7 linked regions of the Canis lupus familiaris genome follow. The protein of the gene in region 1 purifies or fractionates together with the protein of each later gene. This does not show direct contact. Links are inferred from orthologs where the notes say so. Each region holds a gene or a part of one and is shown in the gene's direction. Other genes may lie near its edges. The genes, in order: TNKS1BP1, CNOT6L, CNOT6, CAPZB, CNOT11, CNOT10 and FHL2.

What was found.
Region 2: the proteins of TNKS1BP1 (region 1) and CNOT6L purify together in Homo sapiens (affinity purification with mass spectrometry; 4 studies listed by BioGRID and IntAct, with this or other methods). This does not show direct contact. The link is inferred for Canis lupus familiaris from reciprocal best matches to the Homo sapiens genes TNKS1BP1 and CNOT6L.
Region 3: the proteins of TNKS1BP1 (region 1) and CNOT6 purify together in Homo sapiens (affinity purification with mass spectrometry; 3 studies listed by BioGRID and IntAct, with this or other methods). This does not show direct contact. The link is inferred for Canis lupus familiaris from reciprocal best matches to the Homo sapiens genes TNKS1BP1 and CNOT6.
Region 4: the proteins of TNKS1BP1 (region 1) and CAPZB purify together in Homo sapiens (co-immunoprecipitation; 5 studies listed by BioGRID and IntAct, with this or other methods). This does not show direct contact. The link is inferred for Canis lupus familiaris from reciprocal best matches to the Homo sapiens genes TNKS1BP1 and CAPZB.
Region 5: the proteins of TNKS1BP1 (region 1) and CNOT11 purify together in Homo sapiens (affinity purification with mass spectrometry; 5 studies listed by BioGRID and IntAct, counting the BioPlex papers as one, with this or other methods). This does not show direct contact. The link is inferred for Canis lupus familiaris from reciprocal best matches to the Homo sapiens genes TNKS1BP1 and CNOT11.
Region 6: the proteins of TNKS1BP1 (region 1) and CNOT10 purify together in Homo sapiens (affinity purification with mass spectrometry; 4 studies listed by BioGRID and IntAct, with this or other methods). This does not show direct contact. The link is inferred for Canis lupus familiaris from reciprocal best matches to the Homo sapiens genes TNKS1BP1 and CNOT10.
Region 7: the proteins of TNKS1BP1 (region 1) and FHL2 purify together in Homo sapiens (affinity purification with mass spectrometry; 3 studies listed by BioGRID and IntAct, with this or other methods). This does not show direct contact. The link is inferred for Canis lupus familiaris from reciprocal best matches to the Homo sapiens genes TNKS1BP1 and FHL2.

Annotation. Positions count from the first base shown.
Region 1 is NC_049239.1:39,301,867-39,305,366, forward strand, and holds part of TNKS1BP1 (182 kDa tankyrase-1-binding protein), read left to right. Parts: intron 1-969; coding exon 970-1,336; intron 1,337-1,570; coding exon 1,571-1,721; intron 1,722-1,816; coding exon 1,817-1,953; intron 1,954-2,710; coding exon 2,711-2,868; intron 2,869-2,962; coding exon 2,963-3,023; 3' UTR 3,024-3,035; intron 3,036-3,500.
Region 2 is NC_049253.1:37,892,126-37,896,371, forward strand, and holds the start of CNOT6L (CCR4-NOT transcription complex subunit 6-like), read left to right. Parts: upstream 1-1,446; 5' UTR 1,447-1,564; coding exon 1,565-1,569; intron 1,570-1,610; exon of another isoform or gene 1,611-1,629; intron 1,630-1,642; exon of another isoform or gene 1,643-1,670; intron 1,671-2,547; exon of another isoform or gene 2,548-2,569; intron 2,570-4,246. UniProt on the Homo sapiens protein: Has 3'-5' poly(A) exoribonuclease activity for synthetic poly(A) RNA substrate.
Region 3 is NC_049232.1:1,473,355-1,476,854, reverse strand, and holds part of CNOT6 (CCR4-NOT transcription complex subunit 6), read left to right. Parts: intron 1-463; coding exon 464-666; intron 667-3,050; coding exon 3,051-3,263; 3' UTR 3,264-3,500. UniProt on the Homo sapiens protein: Poly(A) nuclease with 3'-5' RNase activity.
Region 4 is NC_049223.1:78,732,647-78,736,146, forward strand, and holds part of CAPZB (F-actin-capping protein subunit beta), read left to right. Parts: exon of another isoform or gene 1-16; intron 17-3,189; coding exon 3,190-3,311; intron 3,312-3,500. UniProt on the Homo sapiens protein: F-actin-capping proteins bind in a Ca(2+)-independent manner to the fast growing ends of actin filaments (barbed end) thereby blocking the exchange of subunits at these ends.
Region 5 is NC_049231.1:42,709,913-42,712,674, reverse strand, and holds part of CNOT11 (CCR4-NOT transcription complex subunit 11), read left to right. Parts: intron 1-1,166; coding exon 1,167-1,369; intron 1,370-2,225; coding exon 2,226-2,428; intron 2,429-2,762. UniProt on the Homo sapiens protein: Component of the CCR4-NOT complex which is one of the major cellular mRNA deadenylases and is linked to various cellular processes including bulk mRNA degradation, miRNA-mediated repression, translational repression during translational initiation and general transcription regulation.
Region 6 is NC_049244.1:4,229,022-4,232,521, reverse strand, and holds part of CNOT10 (CCR4-NOT transcription complex subunit 10), read left to right. Parts: coding exon 1-83; intron 84-2,327; coding exon 2,328-2,470; intron 2,471-3,298; coding exon 3,299-3,385; intron 3,386-3,500. UniProt on the Homo sapiens protein: Component of the CCR4-NOT complex which is one of the major cellular mRNA deadenylases and is linked to various cellular processes including bulk mRNA degradation, miRNA-mediated repression, translational repression during translational initiation and general transcription regulation.
Region 7 is NC_049231.1:39,049,603-39,053,576, forward strand, and holds the start of FHL2 (four and a half LIM domains protein 2), read left to right. Parts: upstream 1-1,174; 5' UTR 1,175-1,315; intron 1,316-1,610; exon of another isoform or gene 1,611-2,705; intron 2,706-3,974. UniProt on the Homo sapiens protein: May function as a molecular transmitter linking various signaling pathways to transcriptional regulation. Negatively regulates the transcriptional repressor E4F1 and may function in cell growth.

The DNA of each region.
Region 1 (3,500 bases):
ATTTCAGGGGGTGGCAGCTGGCCCACACACCAGCTCCTTGTGTGAGGTATGTGAGTAAGCGTGTGTGCTGAGCCGGGTGTGTCTGTCGTGTTTTGAGGGAGCGGCGGGCCGAAGATGCACAGGCCGTATTGAGGTGCAAGGTGATCTAGCCTGTCAGTGGATGGCGAACATTTGCTAAATCCTCCTCCTGGCTGGGCCGAGCCCAGGTACCAGGGTCACAAAGGCCAAAGGGGCCGCCTTTGCCCTTGAGTGGTTCCCAGATGGGCTCTGAGGCAGGGGCTGGTGCAGGTGGGGGCCCCAGGCTCGCAGGGCTCAGGAAGGGGGGCTGTGGCTGGGGGTGGAGAGGGGCCAGCCTCAGAAGAGGAATGGACCCGTGACCGGGAGAGGAGCGCAGGGCAGTGGGGGAGCCTTCCAGGCCAGGGAACAGCTTGTGCACATACACCGCAGTCTGCAAAGACGGTGATGTGTTTGGGGGAGTCCCTGGACGTTCTGTGAGGCTGGGGTGCAGGGAGGGATGCTGCAGGGGCCAGTGCCTGGCTCGTCCCAGGGAGAGTGACCACCCAAGCAGCTGCCCCTATGAGGAGCACATGGACAGCAGTAATGATTGTGGTCAGTGCTGGGGACACGCTGGGTGCCAGGCACTGTGCTTTGTGCTGTGGTTCCCATTTCAGTCCCCAGCAACTCTTGGGAGTTAGAGGGTCCTGAGGCCTTGATGGGTGGAGGGACCTGTCCACAGCCTCAGTAAGTGGCGGACCTGGGATTTGAACCAGGCTGCCCACCTTGCCCGCTCTGTGCTGTACTGTTTGAGGCCCCGACCGTGTCCTTTCGGAAGGAAGGTGTCTGGGAAAGCATGGAGAGGCAGGAGAGGGAGAGCCTGTTGGAGGGGGGCACAATACTGGGAAGTGGGCTTTGGGGGAGGAAGATGGGGCCTCATGGGTGACCTTGTCCTCTGGTCTGTCTCCTTTGCAGTCCTGCCGGCTGCCCGGCCCGCTCCCCGCCCTCTGGCTCCCAGAGCCTGCTGGAGGACATGCTGGCCACCAGCAACTCCAGGGCGGCAGCCCGCAAGGGGTCAGCAGCCTCGGGCCCCAGGGGCCTGTTGGAGGAGGACGGAGCCACAGTGGGTGCCGACACAGGGGAGCCCCTCGAGCCTAGCGGGGCCCCTCTGCTTTCCTGGAGGCCGCAGCCTGATGGTGAGGCCAGCCAGACGGAAGAGGTGGACGGCACCTGGAGCCCTTCAGGGGTCGGGCAGGGCGCCCAGGGCCCCACACGGCCCCCTCGGCGGCCCCCTCAGGGCCCTCCGCCCCGCTCTCCCAGTCAGGACTTCTCCTTCATTGAGGTCAGTGCAGGGTGAGCCCAGGGCAGTGGTTGGGCTGTCGGGGGGCACATGGGCGATGTGGCCCGAGGCTGGTCCCTAGGGCTTCCCTGAGTGGCGTCAGCCCCCGGGGAGGGGGGGCAGGAGGCGGGCAGTGGGTGACCCTCTGAACGGGGCGCTGTAGGCTGCTGGAGGGATGCGCTGTTGAGGGTTCCCGTGGGACCGCAATGGCAGTGGTGTTGCTGTTGTCCCGACCAGGACACCGAGATCCTCGACAGCGCCATGTACCGGAGCCGAGCCAACCTGGGGCGCAAGCGTGGGCACCGGGCCCCGGCCATTCGGCCCGGGGGCACCCTGGGCCTCTCGGAGGCAGCCGACTCGGACGCACGCCTGTTCCAGGACTCTACGGGTAGGCCCCTGTCTGGTGGGGTGACGTCTGGGTCTGCGTGGGGGCGGTGCTCCGGGCTCGCCGTCGCGCTGAACCCCCGCTCTGGGCCCTTGCAGAGCCACGGGCTTCTCGGGTGCCATCCTCAGACGAGGAGGTGGTGGAGGAGCCTCAGAACCGCCGGACACGGATGTCCCTGGGCACCAAGGGGCTGAAAGTCAACCTGTTTCCTGGCCTGAGCCCGTCAGCCCTGAAGGTAGTGTCTTAATCGGCCAGCGCATCCAGCCCCTCCGGCCCCTAGCCCCCGAGTGCCTGCCTGGGGTTTCTTCTGTCCGTCCATCCATCCGTCCTTCCCTCCCTCCCATTCTCCTGTCTTCTGCTCCCCCTGAGGGCCCTGTTGGGTCCCGAGTGGGATGGGAGGAAGAACAAGGCATTCCTTCCCGTCCCAGAGTCCCAGAACCTCACAAGGCGAGGAGGACACACGCCCTGTCTCCTGTTAGCTCTGGTGAAGGGCCGAGCTGCAGGTGTGGGGTTGGGGATGTACAGATAAGGGCTGGGCCTCTTCTGGGGGTGGGGGCGGAGGGTCGGGGTGAGGTGTGACTTCTTCTGACCCACCGACCTGCCTGCTGGATGGGAGGGTGTATGGGGAAGGGCTCGTGGAAGTGCCGGATCTTAGCTTGAGGCGTGTGTAGAGCTGGCTGTGGAGGGCAGGGTGATGGGGAGGAGTTCGAGGTTCCCGAGGCAGAGGGAACCCGATGAACGGAGGCACAGGGCTCGGGAGGCACTGCCGGCTTCGCTTCATCCAGCCCAATTGTCTGGATTCAGTGGAGCAGAACCTTCACGAGGACCTTCCGTGCAGGGTGTGGCTCAGGCGACTTCCCGTCCCTCTGGGTTGAAGGACTGCAAAGGGGTCTGTGCCTAATTCTGGGGACGGCTCCTAAGAGAAGGCCTTGCCCTCTGAATCACCCTGCTCCTTCCTCTGACATCTGTCTGCACTTGGGCTCATCTCACAGGCCAAGCTGCGCCCCCGGAACCGCTCAGCTGAGGAGGGGGAGTCTGCGGAGAACAAGCCAAGCCAGAAGGAGTCCGCGGTGCAGCGTTCCAAGTCTTGCAAGGTCCCCGGGCTGGGGAAGCCCCTTGCGTTACCTCCCAAGCCAGAGAAATCCTCAGGGTAGGTGACCTCAACTGGCCTCGCTGGGTGGGCCAGAATTAACCGTGTTTATGTCCTAAGGTTTGCCTAATGACCTTTGCCCTGTGCCATCTAGGTCAGAAGGATCATCACCCAACTGGCTACAAGCCCTGAAGCTGAAGAAGAAGAAGGTCTGAGAAGTCCTCGAGGTAAGTGTGGGTTCCTGGGCTTGGCAAGACCTGCACGGGAGGGTTCAGGAGGCCCCCTGCCTTCTTCTAGGCCTTTCTGTCCCTCTTCTCTGTGAGCCTGGCAGCAGCCCAGGGGAGCCTAGCTCTAGGACCTGGTGGGTCCCTTGGTTCCCCTTAGATTTTGCCCACAGAATCCAGTGTTGTCCGGCCTGGGATGATGGGGAGGAGGGCTGCATCCTGGCTTCCTCTCTGGGCTCAAGGATGGTCCCCACGGGCCCCCAACCCCGTGCCCCAACCCTTCCTCCCTGGGCTCAAGGATGGTCCCCACGGGCCCCCAACCCCGTGGCTGGCCCAAGTGGGGTCAGCCTGCCCTTCTGGTATTTATTAGGCTCAAGGGCCCCAGGTGGGACCCTCCTCACCACGAGGCTCAGCTGGGGGAGCCAGGATGGGCAAGGGACAGGAAGCCAGAGCTGAAGTGGCTCCTCT
Region 2 (4,246 bases), on another chromosome or scaffold:
GTAGGACGGGGATGATGGCGGAGCGTCAGAGGTTCCTCAGTTTACCTTTCGCGACACAACTTCCAGGTGTTTTGCGTTGAACCAACCAACCAACCAACCAACCAACCAACCAACCAACAAAAACGCCCCATCGGAGATGTCAGGAAACCTTCTCCTTCCGTCACTTCACCTCACCTCACCTCCCCTCCCCTCACCTCACCTCCCCTCACCTGACGTCTCGTTAGCTCCCGAGCAGCGCTTCCCGCTCAGGCCGCCTCAGGCCTGCGAGCGGCAAACGGCGCCGCGTCCGGCAGGAACACCGGGTGAGGAGGGTTCGCCGGCCTCCTCCGCAGCATGGCTCTGTGGACGTGGACGTGTGACGCCCCGCCAGTCCCCCCAGCTCCGCCGGCCGCTCGAGCCAAGAAAAGAGAGTAAAAAAGCGATAAGGGCAAAGGAGAAGACGGGTGAGCGCCCTGGCAGCCACGCGCGCAGGCGCGCCACGGCCCGCGGCGGGACCGGGGACCGGGGACCGGGGGGCGGGGCCGAGGCGCGGCGCTGGAGCTCCGCCCCCTCCCCGCCCCGCCCCTCCCCTCCCCTCCCTCCCTCCCTCCCTCCTCTCCCCTCCCCCTCCCGCTCGCGCTCCCGCTCGCGCTCGCGCAGGGGAGTGTCTGAGCGCCGCCAGCCCCTCCACGTCAATCAACCCTCCTCCTCCTCCTCCTCCTCCTCCTCCTCCTCCTCCTCCTCCTCGCACTCTCCGCACCTTGTTATTAATCCCAATTCCGACCTCGCGCGGACGCCTCTCCCCGGCCCTCGGGGTTGTGAACGTGGGAGCGGGAGCGAAGGCACCGAAGGCACCGGAGCCTGGCGTCCCCGAGCGGCGGCGGCGGCAGCCTCGGGCCCGGCAGCGGCAGGCGCAGCAGCAAGCCCCGCGGCGGCAGCAGCCCCGGCGCCCGGAGGCCAAGGCCAAGGCCGGGCTCCGCGCCGCCCTCGGAGTAGCAGCCGCGGCGTGGGAGGGAGCTCGCTGCGGCGCTGGGCCGTCGCGTCGGGGGCCGCGGCCGCGGGGCCTCTCCTGGGCGCCCGGGGTCACCGTCCCGCCCCCCGCCCCCCGCCCGCCTGCCCGCTCCCGTCGGCCGCCCTCTCCGCCGCCGCCCCTGCCGTCCCTCAGGCGGCCCGGCCCGGCCCGCCCGCCCCGCGTCCCCTCCGGCCGGTGCCTCTCCCCCCGGCGGGCTGCCTGCATGTCTTTGCTGCCCTCAGCCCCGCCGCCACCGCCGCCGCCGCCTCCCCCGCCGCCGCAGCCCCAGCACCAGCAGCAGCCGCCCCGCCGCCGCCGCCGCCGCCGCCGCCCGGACCCCGGCGCGCTGAATGCAGGTGAGGGGGGGCGCGGGCCCTGCCGGTGGCGGCGGCGGCGCTGCGCGGCGCGGCGCGGCGGGGCGGGCGGGAGCGAGGCCCGCCCGTGGGTGTTTGTGTTTGCGTCTGCGGCCGCGGCCCGGAGGGAAGCATCTGTGGGGCCGGGCGCGCGCGCCGCCGTGTCTCCCCTGCCGCGGGGAAATGGCTGCTGTTGCTCCGCCTGGGCCGGAGGAAGAGAATGAGGTAGAGTGTCTGCGCCTCGGAGGAGGGTCGATGTGGGGGACACGGAAGCGTCCCCGGGAGGTGAGGTGGGAGAGCGACGAGCGTGCGTGAGGCTGTGCGAGGTGAGGCTGTGGCGGGCGGGGAGGCGGCCCGGGGACCCGGGGCCAGTGGGCGTGTGTGGGGCCGGCGCTGGCGGCCCCGGGGTGCGGGGCGGGTTCCGTGTGTCCGGGACCCCCGAGGGGCGCCCCTCCCCCGCCCCCCCGTTCCCCTCCCCCCTCTGTGGGCGCCGCGCGGGTGAAGCTGCTCGGCCGCGGCGGGCCCCGACCGGGCCGGGCCGGACCGGGGACGCGAGTGTGTGCGCCGCCCGCGCGCGGCAGCCCAGGCCGGCTGAGCTGCGGGTCGGGGCCGCGCCGCTGCTCCCGGGCCCGGCAGGAAGCGCGCCGGCCTGCAGCGCGGCCTAACCGCCTCGGCGCCCGCCCGCCCGCCTCCCGGACGCCTCCCGGACGCCTCCCGGACGCCTCCCGGACGCCCCGGCCCGCGAGCACCCGGGGCGCTGCCTCGGGCCTGGGCAGGTGAGGAGGGTCGGAGGCGGGACGCGCGCACCGCCGTCGCCTCGGCCGCCTCCGCGTCTGCTGAGGAGAGAGGCGAAGGCTTATTTTGGCTCTGGAGCTGCAGGCTCTGCCCCTCCGGGCGGCGGGACCCGAGGGAAAGAGACTCAGAGCGGTGAATCTCGGGAACACTGGCTGCGGATGGAGATCCCTTCGCCCCGTCCCTCCGCGAAGGCCCGGTGGACGGACTGTGTACACGTTTTCAGTTTTCGTCGCACATATTTTCTCGTGGGGGACATGAGTGCGATTTTTAAGATAAATTTTTTTTTTTTTCCCCCCCCGAGACGCGAGGGAAGAAATGGAAGCTGGCTTTCCTGTCCTGCGGTGTTGGTGGCATTGGATCGATTTTGTGCGTTTGAAATCGTTTTATCCTGCCTCCTAGGGGAAAGGCGTGCACACGCGGAACTGAGGAGGTTGGTGAGGAAGAGGAAGTTACTGTAGCTGTCATCGTCCCTAACTCGGCCTAGTTATCTTAGGCTGTTGAGATGGATTGTGTTCAGGGAGTTTAGCTGAGCCGTTTGTACACGTTGGAAGCACAGTATTACATTTTACTGCCTTACTGCTTCTACTTATCTATATTGCCGATCAGGATAGTCACGTACAAACAAACACGTCTCATGCACAATCTCCAAAACCTAGGTCAAGGAGCCTTTATGTTGTCTACCCAGGGTGTGTGTGTGCTCCGGGGAAGCTATTTTTGAGAGTGGTCTAAGCAAAGCGGAACTATGAAGATAAATCTGCCAATAGGTGTGCAGTGCGTTGTAGACCCAAATATAAATGGTATTTGAATGATTTATTTGCTTTACTCCGCCCTCCTTCCGTTTGCATTTCGTAAGCTCATCTAGCTGAGACCCTGTGGATGAAGTCCTGATACAGATTTGATCCTTGCAGACCATGCTCTGTATGATGGCCGGGTAGCCCTGTTTCTAAAACTGGTCTCACAAATGTTCCAGGCCGTGCACTGGGAACAAGAGTGGAGGGAAGAATAGGAGTGGAGAGCTGTTTTCTGGGACCACTGCTGGAAAAACAACATGTGTAGTTGAGTGGAAAAAGGACTTGTTTTACCTCAGAACTCTGGCTGTGCCATTTTTCTTAGCTGTTTGACCTTAGCAAGTTACCGAATGTCTGTAAGTCTCTGTTTTTTTTTTTTTTTTTTTTTTCCATTTGTAACGAGGAGATACCTTTATAGTAAGGTTGTCCTGAGGGTGGAATGAAAAAACATGTTTGGCACATAGTAGAGGCTTAGTTAAATATTCCTCCCGCAGCCCTGATTGTGGGCATTGAAAAACATGTGTAAGGACAAATACCCATTTGATAACTGAGAGCAATATTGTGTAATTGTAGGTTAAAAATCAAGGCAGTAGAACATTTCAGAGTCCTTTGATAATATATAAGGTATATATAAACTTTTAATGTTTTTTATGTCTTTCCTAGAAATAAGACTGTCATTAAAGTGGCCTAGTATATTAGTTTATAGAGACTGTCTAGTCATACTTTTTTTCCTCTGTATTTTTGAATAGGCCATCTCTCAGTTTTACTACTTTTATGATTCTGGCTATGTAGTCCTGGAAAAAATTGTACTGTATATAGCACATATACATTCCAATACAATCAAGCATTAAAATGGATCAAGAAACGAGAGTTTAGATTACTTTAACAGATTCATAAAGCATAAGTGCCAAAAAATTGCTATGTAATTCTTTGAGTTCATGTTGACTGATTTGGTAAACAAAAACTTCTTGGAATACATTCTTGGATGGTTTAGGGAAAAATCCTCAATCAACTTTGAATAGTTTTCCATTTTTATTACTCTCTGTGGAGTAGTGAATGTGCTGTTCATTTATTTTTAATTGTGGTGGAGAAAAAAAAATGATGATACAGAGTTTAAGGTAAAGGCAATGGAAAGGTTAAAGAAGGATTTTTTTTTCTTTTCTATCTTTTTAAAAATTATTTTGGTGAAGGCAGGATGAAGAGAATGTGAGGAGTTTCATTGGGTTAAGTTTGTAGTATGTCCATTTACTAAAGCCAGGTTTCCAAATTAGGCCTTATTTTTATTTATATCAGCAATGGTAAGCTTAAAAAAAAAAGAC
Region 3 (3,500 bases), on another chromosome or scaffold:
AAAGTAGAATAACTATTTGCAGAGCCCATCTAGCTGGTAGCATTCTCTTCCATTGTTGGTAATATGTATAACACCACATTTAATCATAATCTTGGTATTTCATACCAAGTAAATAATTCAACATAGGTAGAAACCTAGATACTAAGATGTTGATTATGGAGTTAATTCTTTTTAAAAAGTAAAACCACAGGAATTTTTTAAAAAATAAGGAACTACTATAACAACTATGAAACACCACAGCAAAGTATAAAATATTCAGTATACTAGGATCAAAACCGTGTAAAAATAGATTTAGATAAGTTCTGGGAAATGTGGGAAAAAAAAAAAAAAAAACAGACCAAAAAACAAGACATTTTAGAAAGGGGGACTGTGTGGCACAAAGTATTTACTATTATATTTTTTTAGTTTTGTACACTGCATATTATACTTGACAGTTTTCAAAATACCTGTGTTTTCATTATAGGTGTTGTAGAATATTTGAGCACTGGTGGAGTAGAAACAAATCATAAAGACTTTAAAGAACTGAGATACAATGAAAGTCTTACAAATTTCAGCTGTAATGGGAAAAACGGGACAACCAATGGAAGGATCACTCATGGTTTCAAGTTAAAGAGTGCCTATGAGAGTGGCCTGATGCCTTACACAAATTACACGTTCGATTTCAAGGTGACTTGAGATTGAGAAACTTTTCAAACCTCCATTTTTTGGAGAGTCTTGTAACTTTATTATGTCTTTGAAATGTTGATGTGTGTTCAGACTAGAAGTAAACCATGTTGAATTAGTTGACAGCAGTATTCTCTTATTATTCTTCTGTGGAATTCTGTGTGATTGGTGTCCCATTCCTACTTGGTAGGTACCTATTAGAGTCAGGGTAAGAAATCAGATGAAATAATGATAATAAATCCTGAGTTTAACTGTCACTGTTTGGGGACAATTATGTTATAATAATGTTCATTACTTAACAGCTATTCAGAAAGTACCATAGTATCTAATTTGGTGTCCATTGGAGTGACATATTTCATCTCTCATATTTTAACTGAAACTACTCTTTGAGTGCCAAAATGTGGTTTATATTAGCCATTTAATAATATAATTTATATTTATTTATATGCCTTCACACACAGTTAATTAAGCTTACAATGTAGAGCCTTGCCTTAGTGCTTCTCCTCATTTTTAATATCATTGGTTGCTTAGGACTTGCATTCATCTGTTCTTTTTAACCATTTTTTGCATTTCTGCTCTTAAATCTTAGTTTTCCATTTCTAAACTCCTGGGAAAATCATCATTCAGGTTAGATTGTGTGTTAGAGTGTTAAATACTACTGTTAACTGGTTCTTAATTTTGCTGTTAAGGGCTTTTAGACTTCTTTGAGAAACTGTGGAAGAACTTGAAACTTTTTTTATTGGACTTTGGAGGAGCCATAGTACTGTAGATAATTTAACCCTTAGATAATTTAACAGATAAGTGCGTGGAGGTGAAGAGAGGCTGGAGCAGACTCTGGGGAAAATGAACAATAAATGACAGAAGAGTAACCAGAGGGAGGAGGAGATCCAGGACAGTGTAGGAGCCTAACTGCCAAGACAAGAAGGCCTTTTCTAGGGAAAAAGAAGCATTATGTAAGCTTCAAAGAGCTGTTGGTGAGGGAGGCTTCACTGGAGGGGTAGGCAAGAAGACTAGAATGTGGCGAAGTGAAGGATATTACTGGGCAATGAGGTAGTAAAAACCAACTTTGAGATTCTTATTTGAAGCAGAGTGATTGAAAAAGAGGGGAGGAGTGATGATGACCAAATGGTGGGAGACATTAGGGATTTTGTTTTCTTTCTGTTCCTGTTGCTGATAACAGAAATAAAAGGAAGATACTCGAATGTGCTTAAATATTTTTAGCTGAAAGCATGTCTAGGAGAGGCTGAAGTTTTACAAGGAGGAGAGGGGCAAACTGAGAGGTGGTCAGCTGGGTGCCCAATGCTGGGCCTGGGTGCTGCTGGGAACAGACAGGGCAAGATGTCCCGGCCCTTGTGGAGCTCACAGTCTGGTGGGAGAGACCCGTCTCCACAGTACAAGTGAATGTGTAGTTATACCTTGGGGAGTGCATGAGCAAGAAAAGAGACTTAGAGGTGCTGGCAAGTAGTGAGTGCATGAGGGCAAGATTCAGGAAGGACTTTTGAAAGTGTTTGAACTCCACATGAAGGCTGAGAAGAAATTAGCCAAATGACACATAGAAGAAAGTGTTCCAGACAGAGGGCACAGCGTGTGTGGATGCCTTGGGGCAGGATGGAGCTTGATACCTACAAGGAATGTCCTTCTCCCCACCCTAAAAAAATGGCTAGCATGCTAATAGGGTAGTAAGCATGGGAAAATAGTACAAATCAAGTTAGGAAAGAAGCCAGGGGGTTTCTGGGTGGCTCAGTTTAATGTCTGCCTTTGGCTCAGGTCATGAATCCCAGGGTCCTGGGATGGAGGGAGTTCCCTGCTCAACGGGGAGACTGCTTCTCCCTTTCCTCTTCTCACTCGTTCTCTTTCTCTCTCTCTCTCTCCGTCACTGCCTCTCTCTTTCAAATAAATAAAATCTTTTAAAAGAGAGAGATGCCGAGGCCATACCATGAAGGACTTGTAGGTCTCATTAAAGATTGTGAAAAGGCGGGGATCCCTGGGTGGCGCAGCGGTTTAGCGCCTGCCTTTGGCCCAGGGCGCGATCCTGGAGATCCGGGATCGAGTCCCACATCAGGCTCCCGGTGCATGGAGCCTGCTTCTCCCTCTGCCTATGTCTCTGCCTCTTTCTCTCTCTGTGTGACTATCATAAATTAAAAAAAAAAAAAAAAGATTGTGAAAAGGTGCAGAAAAGAGGAAGAATGAATGATAATCATCCCTAAACTGTCTTCATTCTGCTGGATTTGACACCTGGGGGACCGTTTGGTTTGTGTAGTACCTCTTCCCATGTGCTAATCACTTTCTCTGTTTACCCAAGATGACTGCAGGGTATGTCTTGAGAGCTCTCGTGTTTCAGTATTATCTTATATAAACCCTCATCTTTTTTTCCTTCTGTTTTTCAGGGTATAATTGACTACATCTTCTATTCTAAACCTCAGCTGAACACTTTAGGCATCCTAGGACCTCTGGACCACCATTGGCTAGTTGAGAATAATATCAGCGGCTGCCCACACCCACTCATCCCCTCCGACCACTTCTCACTTTTTGCACAACTGGAGCTCTTACTGCCTTTCCTGCCCCAAGTTAATGGCATTCACCTTCCTGGCAGGAGGTAGTCAAGTACCTTCAGAGGACGACCTCAATTTCACTTTTAAACTCAAAATCTGAATATAGGGGAGTGAGGTATGGCCACCAGGGTTGTCATTTTTTTTTCTTTTTTTTCCTTTTCCTTGATGATTTGAATTTTCAATCTTGATTATTTGATAAGGATATAGTATGAAAGCCAGGTGCTAGCAACAGACAAATTCTGAGCCCAATATGCTTTATATACTGTTAGACAGGGATTGGTGTGT
Region 4 (3,500 bases), on another chromosome or scaffold:
AAATGTAGGACTTTAATTAAAATGCCAGCTCTCTTTGTCTAGGGCTTTCCCACTACCTCGCGATTCATATTTGGGGAATGTCTGGTTGGAACTACAAAGTGAAGCGGGTCCTTGTGTCCATCAGAGTTCAGTTCTTGACGGCAAACTCTTGATAAAGATCCTTACTGCACACCAATTTATTAACTTCAAAACAAAGCCAGTAGGTGTTCTGGAGGCTCCATGTGGTAAAATTCCTCCCTCCCATCCAAATACACCCGGCCCTCACTATCACCAAGCACGGCTGCCATAGGTGCTGGGAGTACAGGCCTGAACAAGGTGAAGTCCCCACCCTGGCAAAGTCTGCATTCTAAGGAGGGGAGACAGACAACAAATAAATCAGTAGACGTGTTAGCAAGAAATTACTGAAATACTTGTAATTCGTGGATTAACCTTTTGATCAGTGGTGCAGCTGAGCCTATTTTATACTGAATCCCGTTATCTTGTAAGCTTTCCTATGTGGGGGGCCGGTGGGGAAGGGGAGACAGCTTGGCTCCAGGCAGAACTGGGGATCAGAACCGGATGCTCAAAGGTCTGTTTTTATGCAGTGCCTGAAGCAGTGTGGTGAATTCAGGTGGGACCCAGTTTGACGTTGCCCTCAAAGAAGCACGTACAGCAGACAATGCTGAGTACAGAGGAGGGAGGGTGGCATGTGGGTGTTCGATGCTAGCGTGTGTGCCCTCCCCCTCGTTGGGCACTGGACTGAATGCCCAATGCAGGTCTTTTGTGATACCCCAAATCACGGTGAATAGGTTTTGCTATCCCCACATTACAGATAAGGAAATCAGGTCTTCATAGAGAAGTGAAAATGACTTGCCCAGGGTCCTAAGGGTGGTAAGTGGTAGAGTCAGGAAGTCACACTTCAGAGCCTGTTTGCTTAGCCTCTGCCACAGTCCAGGATGAATCGGGCCCCAACCATTTCAAATGGGGTTTGAAGCAGAAGTCAGGGCCCAACAGGGAAGCTAAGGCAACACTCAACAGAACAAACGGTGGTGCAAAGGGCTTGTGGTGACCAGCTGCCACATAGGTGCTCAGGACCATCCGCAGGAAAGCAAGCGATTTTCCAATCCCAGCTGCCTTGGATGGAAGCTGTTCCTTGCCTTGGCCAGGACTTCTTTCCAGGCTCTGTGGCCGTTGGTTGTTGAGCAGGGAGGTTATTTGCCGCCTTGGATGGGAGGGGGTTACTTGCTGCCACAGTGTGCCTTTGGCATGCACTGTCCCTGCTCTCAGTTGTCTGTTGAATCAGAGTTAGTCAGAGGGGGAGATTTCAGCCTCCCCTGCTTGCTTCCTGTGTAAGCCTTGGGCAGCTTAAGGACTCTGGTCCTCAACTGTCTAGTCTTTACAGACAGATGTCTGTAATGGGCATGAAGCTGCCTGCTTTACAGGAGGAGAGTGAGCTCTCAAGTGCAGTCTGCCAAGTATATGTAAAGGCCTCGCCTAATCCCTGGTACCTGGCAGACACTTGGATGTGCTAGGGGTTTGATGTGTGTGTGTGTGTGTGTGTGTGTGTTTTAAGATTTTATTTATTTATGCATGAGAGACACACACACAGAGAGAGAGAGAGAGGGGGGCAGAGACACAGGCAGAGGGAGAAGCAGGCTCCATGCCGGAAGCCTGACATGGGACTCAATCCCGGGTCTCCAGGATCAGGCCCTGGGCTGAAGTCGGCGCTAAACTGCTGAGCCACCCGGGCTGCCCGGGGTTTGATATTCTCATCACGAAAACTAACCTTGAAAATAGCCTCATTTGGGGCCCTTAGCTGGCTCAGTCGGTAGCACGTGTGACTCTCGATCTAGGGTTGTAAGTTTGAGCCCCATCTTCAGTGTAGAGATTACTTAAAAAATAAAATCACAAAAGACAGAAATAGCTGTGGGGGGGGGGGGGGTGTGGAGGACACGGGTGGCCGTTGCAGATTGCGCCGGAGGTTAGTGGTGTGGACATCTCTCACAGGCTAGAGGACCGGCAGTGGTCCATGTAGAGGAAACCGATGGTTTCACTGAGGCCAGAGTTTATGCGAGACGAGGTGACCATCTTCCAGTTGTGGCAGCCAGGGCCGTGTGAGCTGCTCCGAAGCACCTGGGGGGCTGGCAGAGGGGCCCAAAGAAAGCAGCCCCCGGAGGCTGGGTGGTCTCCGAGGGGGCGGTCCCCATGTCCTCACCTTCCTGGAGGCGGTCGGGGTCTTCCAGCCGGTGGTCTGCCCCCCCGCCGAGCGGCTCTTCTGGGTATCTTTGCCACATGACTTAACTTTTCCATTTGGAAGGGCTGTTGGTGCAGTTGGCAGCCACCATCCTGGTAAACGATATGGTGGGGCCTCCGTAAACCCAGGGCCATGAAACGAATAAGTCAGCACATTGAAAATATAGCGTGGAAGTGACTCAAGCCCGAAGGAATCCGTTTCTGAAAGTGCTGCCATCCCTTCCTGGAATATTTTGGTGGAAATGGATGTTTGAATTAGGAGGAGGCGGCCTGGTTGCTGGTGGGGCCCTGTGTCCGGTTGGGCAGGATTTGCGCTGGGAATCCGCCCCGCCTGGCCAGGCCCCGGGGCCCTCCTCCTCAGTGACGCGGCTCCGTGTGGGTCCGAGATAAGCCCGCTGGAGCTCGGCTCTGCGCGAAGCTAGTGTGAAGCACCTTTGCAGCAGGTAGGGTTGACTCTGCGAGCCAACCTGGTAATGCTTGGCCAGGGGCCTGGAAAGTATTGGAAACTCCACCCCGCACGGGAGCCGGTGGGAGTTCTCGAGCACGGTCGGGTTATTCTCAGAGTTCTTTGGATTCCTATGTATTTCAAATGTTTACCTTCTTCTCAGGACATGAGCTTGTACTTTGCCCACCAGAGACCAATACCAAGCACATACGTACTTAAACGTACCAGACCACCCTGGCGACCAGGTAATTAAAGCTGCACGCAGATTTGGAAGGAAGGCTGTGTTGGAAATCACGCTCCGCTGTAATTCAAGAACAGGTTTCTTTATGGAGGGACACAGTTGGTGTCAGACACATGTGGAAAAGAAAAGAACAGGCCCATGATTCTGGCAGAGTACCAAGGGCCAGATGTTAAATGTGCTGACCATGATGTGGCTCCGGTTGCCATTAGCCAACCTGGATTCGACGTGTTGTTTTAACCCCTGGCTCTGCCTTTTCCTTCCTTCGCGCCAGGTCCCCAGTCTGTGTGAAGATCTCCTGTCTTCTGTTGACCAGCCCCTGAAAATCGCCAGAGACAAGGTGGTGGGAAAGGATTACCTTTTGTGTGACTACAACAGAGATGGGGACTCGTACAGGTGAGCTGCCAGGCCGGGGCCAGGCGCAGTCCCTGTCGCCTGGGACCACTGAAGTCCGGCCGTCCTTCTGTCTGTCTGTCCTCCCTATCTCCCTCCCCACTTCCCTTCCTCCCATCCTTCCTTCCGTCCAGTCCAGCAGTAGACGTTTGTGGAGTGCCTCCAGTAGAAGCGTTGGAGACTCGGCATGGA
Region 5 (2,762 bases), on another chromosome or scaffold:
GTTTTAATGATGAAGGCATGCTTTATGCTTAAGAATAAGGAAAATGTTCTCCAAATTACAGTGTTACCATGAATTTTAAACTTACATGACTTTAATGCCATTAACACATCTTTGGCATAAATGGGCTTAATAACTGAGGTCTCATCCAGTCACAGGTATGCCTGAAAGCCCATGGCACATGCTGATTTTTATTTAACATTTGTTTAAGCACAACTTTTGTTGCATGAGCCACCAGAAAGGTATGTGAAAACCCCAATCAATTAGATACTGAATCTAGCTAACATGAGGCATCTGTACTTCACGGAAATGTTTCCTTTATCACAGTAGTAGTACTTCTCATAAAATGTCAAAATTTTTATCTTTTTATAAATACTCTGAAAAGAGATTGAGATGCTAGTCCTGGTGATAAAAATGAGAGAGAGGATATTTCAAGATAAACTGATGATTCTTAGCTAGAAAACCTCAATAAACTAGTCTCAAATTTGGCATGGGCTAGGATCCATGATTGGAATAGGCCACCTTAGGGCCCTGTGTGGAAACCAAAATGAGGTATAAAAATCCCAGCCAGTATTTATTTTAGTGGGTTTTTAAACTTAGGAATCAATGCTGTTTCAGAAAATAGTTGAAGTATTGAGTCACTGCATTTTCTTGTATAGTTTTATGAACAGGAGTACAGGATTTTTGAATTAGGGGATTTATGAAAGTCTCTGGATTCATTTGAAAATGTCAAAAGGCAGCTATACTTTTCTGTTTCCTGCCATTTCATGAAATGCAAAGAAAAAAGTTACAAATAATAGTGGTCTCTGAATAAAAATAATGGTAACCAAGAGTAGGATGAACAGAATCAAATAGCATTTCATTTTTCCCATAAGAACTTTTACCAGTATGTGAAGTTGTATCCTTTGCTTCTGAGTGGTGATCATGCTTTAATTAAAAATTGCCAGATCATGGTAGTGCCTTTCTCTCTTGAAAAATAGATTTGCTGTCTAGCATAATGATGTTCTATTGATATTTCGTTTTGTTGGTATTCTGAATAAAACCCTGAATTTCTAAATCATCTCTGCCTTGGATTTTGAAGTCTTGAGCGTTTTATCATGTTACCTTTATAAAGATGTGTATAGATGTTAGCTTACTAAATGAAACAAATATTCCTGTTCTCATTAAAGGCCATTTCCGCCCAGAGTTTATTCGTCCACCACCTCCACTCCACATTTGTGAGGATGAGCTGGCTTGGCTGAATCCAACAGAGCCTGACCATACGATTCAATGGGACAAATCAATGTGTGTCAAGAATAGCACTGGTGTGGAGATCAAGCGAATAATGGCCAAAGCCTTCAAAAGCCCCTTATCGTCTCCTCAACAAACACAGGTATTTATTTATAAGCATTTCTTATCTTTAGTCCTCCACATTAAGTGGCCAATTAAATGACCCTGTCAACAGAAGTCAGCAGTAGGAAGGGTTTTACATCCAAGGAGTCTTGGATCTCTGAATCTTTGTTCTGCTTCTCCAGTTCTAGTCATTTTACTCTGGTGGGGAAAGACTGATAATTCAACATGTATCAACTCTTATTTGAACGATTTTGACTCTAGGAGAGGAGGGGTAGGATAGATCTCACTTTTGATCCTGTGATTACAGTGTTTGTAGTTCACTTTGTTTGCTAGGCCATTCCTGAAACAGTTCACTGTGGTATTTGCCAGTAGGGAGGAAGTGTGGAGAATTTTGAAGAAAAAGCACTTATGTTTTTGAAGAGAACTATTTGAATTACATAGTTGAGTAGGACCTGAACTGCATCATCCTGCAAAGTGAGGGACTGCAACAGGGCAGCTCTCCCTCTTCCCTTCCTGCTTCTCTCCTCAAGCATTTGTTCTCCACCTGGGGCTGTACTCTTGTTTCTCCTATTCCTCAGTTCTCTGTGGTGTGTGCTTTTCTGGAGAGCTGGTTGGCAACTAAATTATTTTTTGGTTCTAGCCGAGGACAGAAAAGGTCTACAAAGGAGTTAAGGATGATATTGTTATATAATCCAGACATTATATCCAACCAGACAATACCAAGTTTGGCTTAATGCCCAGGAGGAGAGATCATTAGCATATTTGTAAATAGTCTTTGCAGTTCAAGACATGATTATAATAATGGGTTTGAAGGAAGAAATTTATGAAGTTGGTTCAATGCAGACAATTTTTTTTGACTCAAAAACCTCTTTTTTTAAAAATTTGATTGTATTTAGCTCCTGGGTGAGTTGGAAAAAGACCCCAAACTCGTTTATCATATTGGCCTGACTCCAGCCAAACTTCCTGACCTAGTGGAAAACAACCCCCTAGTTGCTATAGAAATGCTACTGAAGTTAATGCAGTCAAGCCAGATCACGGAGTATTTTTCAGTCCTGGTCAACATGGACATGTCCTTGCATTCAATGGAAGTTGTAAATCGGTAAGTGTTTATACTCAATCAGATGTGTGTGTGTGTGTGTGTGTGTGTGTGTGTGTGTGTGTGTGTGTGTGTATGTGGGGTATAATATAGACGCTAACTGGCCAGAAGGGAAAAACTTGCAACAGACTTTAAGGCAGGGATTTTTTTTTTAAACCTTCTTGAAATTTTGCTAAAGACCATGTCCATTTAAGCTTACCAGCCAGTGAGAAAAAGCCTGGCTTCGCCTGGCTGGAAGCTGGGTGATCACAAGTATGTGTACAGGAGAGTGGTCTTTTCAACCTTACTTTCTGTCACTGGCAAAACTGGTTACCTGCTTTTTGAAAGTATACTTCAC
Region 6 (3,500 bases), on another chromosome or scaffold:
GGCAGTCATTCTTTATCATCTGCGGCAGTACACAGAAGCGATAGCAGTTGGTGAAAAGCTTTACCAGTTCATAGAACCTTTTGGTATGTTCTGTCAAAATTTTTCCGTTGAAAATTTCCCTATTTTCAGGGGACCTGGGTGGCTCAGTCAGTTAAGTCTGACTGAGCCTGACTCTTGATCTCAGCCCAGGTCTTGATCTCAGAGTTGTGAGATCAAGCCTAAGTTGGGTGGGCATGGAACCTGCTTGGGATTCTATCTCTTCCTCTGCCCCTCTCCCACTATAAAAAAAGAATTCTGTATCTTCTCATACTTGCAATGGCCTCTGGTACTTTTACCTAATTAACCTAAATCAGGGAATTACTTGTTACTATTTATGAAAAAAGAAAAAAGCTATGTCAGATTTTCTTAATAGAAAAGATAAAAATGACATTACTTTTAGATGAACCTAGGTTTTCTTTCAGCATTTCCTCCTCACTCTATTTTTAAAAACAACTGTTAGAAATGATGTCTCTTGGGATGCCTGGGTGGCTCAGCAGTTGAGTGACTGCCTTTGGCTCAGGGCATGATCCCAGAGTCCCAGGATCGAGTCTCACATCGGGCTCTCTGCATGGAGCCTGCTTCTTCCTCTGCCTATGACTCTGCCTCTCTCTCTATCTCTTGTAAATAAATAAATAAAATCTTTAAAAAAATGATGTTTCTGATTGGAAAGATTTAGTGATTTTTGTTTGCTCTTTTTACACTACCTAGTGTACCCAATCTTGTTACTTGGGCAATATATTAAGAAGTATTCGGAGATATTAAGGGACAATTTTTTTTTTTTTTTTGTCCATTGCCTCACTGACATTTTTGTGGGTAATTATAGAATTATAGAATAGATAGTACAGACTATCTTAGCATTTTTTTATATCTTAATTAGCTTGCAGTTACTAGCCTTGAGTAAGTATAATAAGAAAGGTGAAGGCAAAGGAACAAAGAGGGAGCAAATAAAGTAGCAAAGCCTGACTCAGGAAATGGTTGTTAGGGCTGTTTGTTTTCAACTCACAATCAGTCAGATTTCAGTTGTGATTCACATTTTTGTCTTTTTCTTACATTACTTTCTTTTGCATTTAAAACACTAATGCCAGTTCCTGATTTATAAATACCTGATTGCTGATCAGTCCCCACAGGAGAAGAGGTAGAGTGTGATGGCACCTCTGTGGGGCTTTAGAAGAGTTACAGGATCGCCTTTGCTGTCAACTGGTTGAACAGCTGCTTACTATGGATCTAGGGAGGCATTTTTAAGATACTCCTCTTCTGTACTGTGGGTGTGGTGGCTGGGCAGATTGGGCAGGAGAAATACCAGTGGTGAAGATGGTATAAATTGTGACCTTTCTCTATGAAGCTAGAAATCAGAATTCTACTTCTAGGATGACACAGATGTGTTTTTCTATATAGCTGGGGGTTTTGTTGGTTTTTTTGTTTTTAAAGTAATCTCTACGCCTAAGAGGGGCTTGAATTTATGACCCTGAGATCAAAGTCACATACTCTACCAACTGAGCCAGCTGGGTCCCCCTACAAAGCTGGTCTTTAGGATTTCTGAAACAATTCATCAAATCCTATTAATCTATATTGTGGCTGAGTATAGAATATAGCAACCAACTAGGGATCCCTGGGTGGCGCAGCGGTTTAGCGCCTGCCTTTGGCCCAGGGCGCGATCCTGGAGACCCAGGATCGAATCCCACATCAGGCTCCCGGTGCATGGAGCCTGCTTCTCCCTCTGCCTGTGTCTCTGCCTCTCTCTCTCTCTGTGACTATCATAAAAAAAAAATAAAAAATTAAAAAAAAAAAAAGAATATAGCAACCAACTAGATAGAATTCAATTTTTTTATTTTTATTTTTTTTTTTTATGATAGTCACAGAGAGAGAGAGAGAGAGAGGCAGAGACATAGGCAGAGGGAGAAGCAGGCTCCATGCACCGGGAGCCCGACATGGGAGCTAAACCACTGAGCCACCCAGGGATCCCCTAGAATTCAAATCCATTTTTCTTAGGGGGCGCCTGAGTGGCTCAGTGAGTTAAGCCTTTGGCACAGGTCATGATCCCAGGGCCCTGGGATAGAGCACCGTACCAAACCAGGCTCCTGTTCAGTGGGGAGTCTGCCTCTCTCCATCTACCTCTTCCCCGGCTTATGCTCTCCCTCTCTCTCTGTCTCTCAAATAAATAAGTAAAATCTTAAAAAACATAAACAAAACTTAGTCTTTGCTCTTTAGAACTTTTTGGGGAGGAGTGGTCTGGTATGTTTGCTTCACTTTGGATTATAACTTTTCTTTTCCTGTTTCTTTCCCCCCAGAAGAAAAATTTGCCCAGGCGGTGTGTTTTTTGCTTGTAGACCTTTATATATTAACCTATCAAGCTGAGAAAGCTTTGCATCTTCTTGCTGTCCTAGAAAAAATGATATCACAGGGTAACAATAACAAAAATGGAAAAAATGAGGTAAGTGTTCTGAGGTGATCAGATTAAAGTTTATGGTTAATATTTGGGGTTATTAAATATTTTAACAGCTTTATTGAAATATAATTCACTATACAAAATGGTCAATATTGTTAATAATACCATAGGATTACATACTTGAAAGTGGCTAAGAGACATTGCGAAGGATAACTAGGAATCCAGCATATGATGTTGGTAGTGTTTATACCAGAGAAAGTTTTTAAGAAGGGACTGACATGGGGCGCCTGGGTGGCTCAGTTAAGTGTCTATCTTCAGCTCAGGTCATTATCCCAGGGTCCTGGGTTGAGCCTCGCCTGTGTCAGGCTCCCTGCTCAGTGGAGAATCTGCTTCTTCCTCTCCCTCTGACCCTAGCCCACTCTTTTCTCTCTCTCTCTCTCTCTCTCTCTCTCTCTCTCTCAAATACATAAATACAAATCTTTAAAAAAGAAAAACGTGGACTTCAAAAGGTTAAAAAAGACAAAAAAGGGAACATGATCCGTTCTGGGTTTCAGAAAGATAATCTTGAGTTTTGCCTGAGTACGATCCATGCTTTTTAAACCTGGCGTATCATTATATTCAATGGGAGCTTCTCAAAAGTAGTTTCCTCCAAACAAAACAAAACAAAGTAAGTTTCCTGTTACCCATTCCAGACTATTATACCTGAATCTCTGAGAGTGAGACCTGGGATTCTGTAGTTCGAAAATGCTTTCTAGATGATTCAGATTAGCTTCCTTGGAAATTACTGATTTAAATTATGGTAAAAAATATATATATTTAATGGTAAAAATATATATATATTTAATTTTGGTTAACTTTGTTTTACCACTACAGACTGGTAATAACACCAACAAAGACGGATTTAATCATAAAGCTGAAAGTGGAGCCCTAATAGAAGCTGCAAAATCAAAGATACATCAGGTAGCATACACTCTAAGAGAGATTTTATTATCATGTATATTTACTAATAGTTATGAATGATAAAGAATGTGATAAATCGTTGGAAGAAGTAAATAATTTGAGGCATGTATGTTTG
Region 7 (3,974 bases), on another chromosome or scaffold:
CTATGTTATTAAATATTCTTCTATGACATTTCCAAAGGTTGCAGTGTTTCCTTCATGGCTATACTATTCCTCATTTTACCAGTCTCGGTTGTTAGTCATTTTGGTTGTTTCCAACTTTCCCCAATTATTAAAAAACCTGCAAGAAATGTCCCTGGAGCTGTATCTCTGCTGACATCCACGATCCTTTCCTTAGGATAAATTCCCAGATGTGGAATGTCTGTCATATGGCAGACAGCTGCTGCCAAACAGCTGACCTCAGTTGTCCTTCACCTGACCCCAGCCATGGCTGAAAAGCCTCCCAGAATTAAGAAATTTAGGGGTGAATCAGGAATTATTGCTACCCCAGATTAGTCCTCTCTGACCTCTTCTAGCATATGGTTTTTTTAAAAGCCCTGGGTGGCTCAGTGGTTGGGTGCCTTTGGCTCAGGGCATGATCCTGGGATCCCAGACTGAGTCCCACATTGGGCTCCCTGCAGGGAGCCTGCTTCTCCCTCTGCTTGTGTCTCTGCCTCTCTTTCTGTGTCTCTCATGAATAAATAAATAAAATCTTAAAAAATAAAAATAAAAAAGCTCCATAAGATTTCTGCATTAGCTCTATAAAGAAAATGATTTGTGGCCCAAGAATCCCCCCAATCATGCATGAGTGGGGGGTGGGAATGGGGAGAGAGGGCCTTTATAAGGAGACTGCATTCCCGGCCTCCCACGTGCCCAGCATGAAGCCGATCCCTTAGAATCTCCCCTAGAATCTTTTTCACCCAAACCAATACCCCTGAAGCCAGGGAAGAGGGTCCGTGTGCTCCTAGCAAGAGGCAGCGCTGACAACCCACAGCACACCCCAGGGCACTGTGTGGCCTGGATGACTTTCCTCCCCCTTCTGTACCACAGCGCCGGCCCTGATCTCGGGGTGGGGGGGTCTCCCAGCATCCGAGCCCCTGCAGCCCCCCAGGGACTCCACCACTTGTCTGACCAAGCGAGATCCCTCCCAGCGCTCGGCTTTCCCCTCTCACTCCTCCTTGGGTTGCTGGACTGTGTGCAAGGCCCAGGGTGTCCTTGAGGTGGGCAGGCCAAATGGGGAGCTGGCACCCCTTCCCATCTGGGGGCCGAGGCTCCTTTAATTTGGATACCTTAAAAGGCTCGCGGGAGCGAGGGGCTGGGTTCTTATCTCTGGGCTCTGGACAGCACCTTATTTATAGCCCTGCTGACACGAGGCGGCAGCTGGCCAGCAGCTGCACACACAGTTGCAGGAGCAGCCCACGAGCGTGGGCCCTGCCTCCCCACTGGCCCCTGGGCTCGCCGAGGGCAGACGACAGGACAGGTAAGCTTCCTCCTCCCCGGGGCCCCTTCCTTCCCTGTGCCCTGTGTCCTCCCAGGCTTCGCTGCCAGCTGTGCGGCCTCCTGCCCCGGGAGGGAGCTCTCTGGCACTGTGCACCTGCAGACCCCAAACCCAGCCCCAGTGGCCTGGCAGCGGGCCCCCGCCTGCAGCCAGCTCCTGCCCGGGGCTGCGGGGCTGTGGGGAAGGAACAGAACCTGGCCCTGGCCGCTGCTCCAAACCCACGGCAGGTGCCTCCGGGAGTAGAAAGAACACGGAGGGAACCCTCCGTTCATCTTACCCTCTCAGACGGGGAAACAGGAACTACACGGAGTTTTGAACACCAGGAAGCTTTTTGTAAAAGAAAAAAGAAAAAAAAAAAAAGTATAAAATAAACATTGGGAGGGGGGAAACCACAGTGCCCTGGAGCTTTTTCTCCTTGACAGAATTTCCGGATGGCCTGGGGTGAGGAGGCAAATTACTGAGGAGTCTGATTAGGCTGGGAAAGTATGTTTATACAAGATGACTTGTTACGGCTGACGGTTCCAAAGTACAGATAGCTGTTGTGTGCTTAAAGGAAATGCATTCACATTTTACTAATTTACTAATTTCTAGAGCAGGATGTGAGCAAATGCACAGTATTGAGTAATGCTTGGGCCAATTGTGTAATAATGTTAACACTGATAAGATGGCATATTCTGATAATAGGTGTCATACATGTTAACATCCTCTAGTCATACTCCATGCAAGGCACCTTATCAGGTCTAATCCAATAAAAAGAGATATTACCAGGCCATTTTTTAAAAATAATTCTGAGGTCAAAAGATAGTATTAACACTTGCGTTATTGGCTGATGTTATTTTATCATGGACTTGCTCTATATAGGTTTGTTCTGGTTTTATTTTATTTATTTGTTTCTTGAGGAATGCTATTTGAATTTTGTTTTATTGCTAGGTTTATAACATGATGTGCTGTAATCAAACCTATTACATTTTGAGATCCATCCAATCTTAGGAGAGTTTTTGTCTTTAAAGCAGTAGCCAGCTACTCAACTCACACAATTACATTTTCGAGGCCTTTTCTGATATTAAGAAAATGCTTCAATGTATAACCTTCATGAAGAGTTGCATAGTTTCCCCTAAAATATTCCCTGACTGCTCACTCAATCTTGCCTGTTTTTGAATGCATTTTGCACTATTAGATTTCTTCATCCCACTTAGTGCTTCTGGAGTTCTCCATTGGTTCCAGATCCTGAGGCTAGGCCACGTCATATTTCTCTCTGTAATCTGATAGCTCTTAACACAGGGACCTACATAGTCTACTGGTGTCTAAAATACTTCAGATTTAAAATAGATGGCCAAGAAACTGAGTTTAAATTGTCCTCTCCCCACCGTCAAAAAAAATTTTTTTCAACCAAATAAATTATAAAGATCTTATTGGTTTTACTCAATGATTCATCAATTGGGCAGTATCCCACCCAGCAGACAGAAAAGGGCTGTGCAGTGTGTACAAAACTGAAGACCTTTACAGACAGAAGGGAACAGGAACTAGGAAGGTACATGGGACAAAAAAAGTGGACTGTTTATTCCAACATTACTTTCCTTTAGAGGATGACAGGGCTCTATCAGGCAGATGACCTAACTAATGCTCATCAGGTGAGTTCTGACTGCTTTAAAATTCCATTACTGGAAGAGGCCAAAATTGTACTTAGGTTAGGTGTGTTTGGTGACGTGGAGCTTAATATAAGTGACTCCATTTGGGGCCTGTTGTCCTGTTTTTAACACCACCAAAGAAAGAGGTGAAATTATATTCATAGTGTTTATATTTTCTTTCATTGTATCTTACTGTACAAATATATGCCAGAAAATACAGACCAGCAGAGAGAAGAAAATGAAAAATTATGTGTGGTCTTACTACATTTATTGTTTATCCTATTTCTTGATTCTAAGAAGTCTTTGATTTTGAGATGAGCCACTAATTTAACACTAGCTTTACAAGAGAGGGAAGGAAAGAACGCCTGGGTGGCTCAGTGGTTGAGCGTCTGCCTTTGGCTCATGGTGTGATCCCAGAATCCCAAGTCCCACATTGGGCTCCTTGCATGGAGCCTGCTTCTACCTCTGCCTGTATCCCTGCCTCTCTCTCTGTGTCTCTCATGAATAAATAAAATAAAAAAAAAAAAAGGTGGGGGGGGGAAATTCTCACTATATACCACTCCACATTGATGTATTTTAGGATGCATCTGAAAACAATAAATTATATGGAGAACTATAACTTCTAATTAAGAAAAAAATATATCATCAGGTCATTTGGTAATCTGCTTTTTGTTAAATTTATGATCAATGTCCTTTCACCAAGCATTCAAACTTTATTTCTTTGAAATTAGTTATCTTTATATGACATTGTGATTTCTTTCATTTAGCCAGAATATTCAAATACTTATAATGATGGGGAATTAGAATGATGGAAACTTAAAAAAAAAACATAAATTAAGCTTTAGATAAGCAATTTTATCAGGATATAACTAGTTGGGTTTTTTAAGATTTTATTTATTTATTCATGAGAGACAGAGAGGCAGAGACACAGGCAGAGGGAGAAGCAGGCTCCCTGCAGGAGCTAATGAGCAATATGCTAATTTCTACACTACTAATGCAACCCACTGAATAGT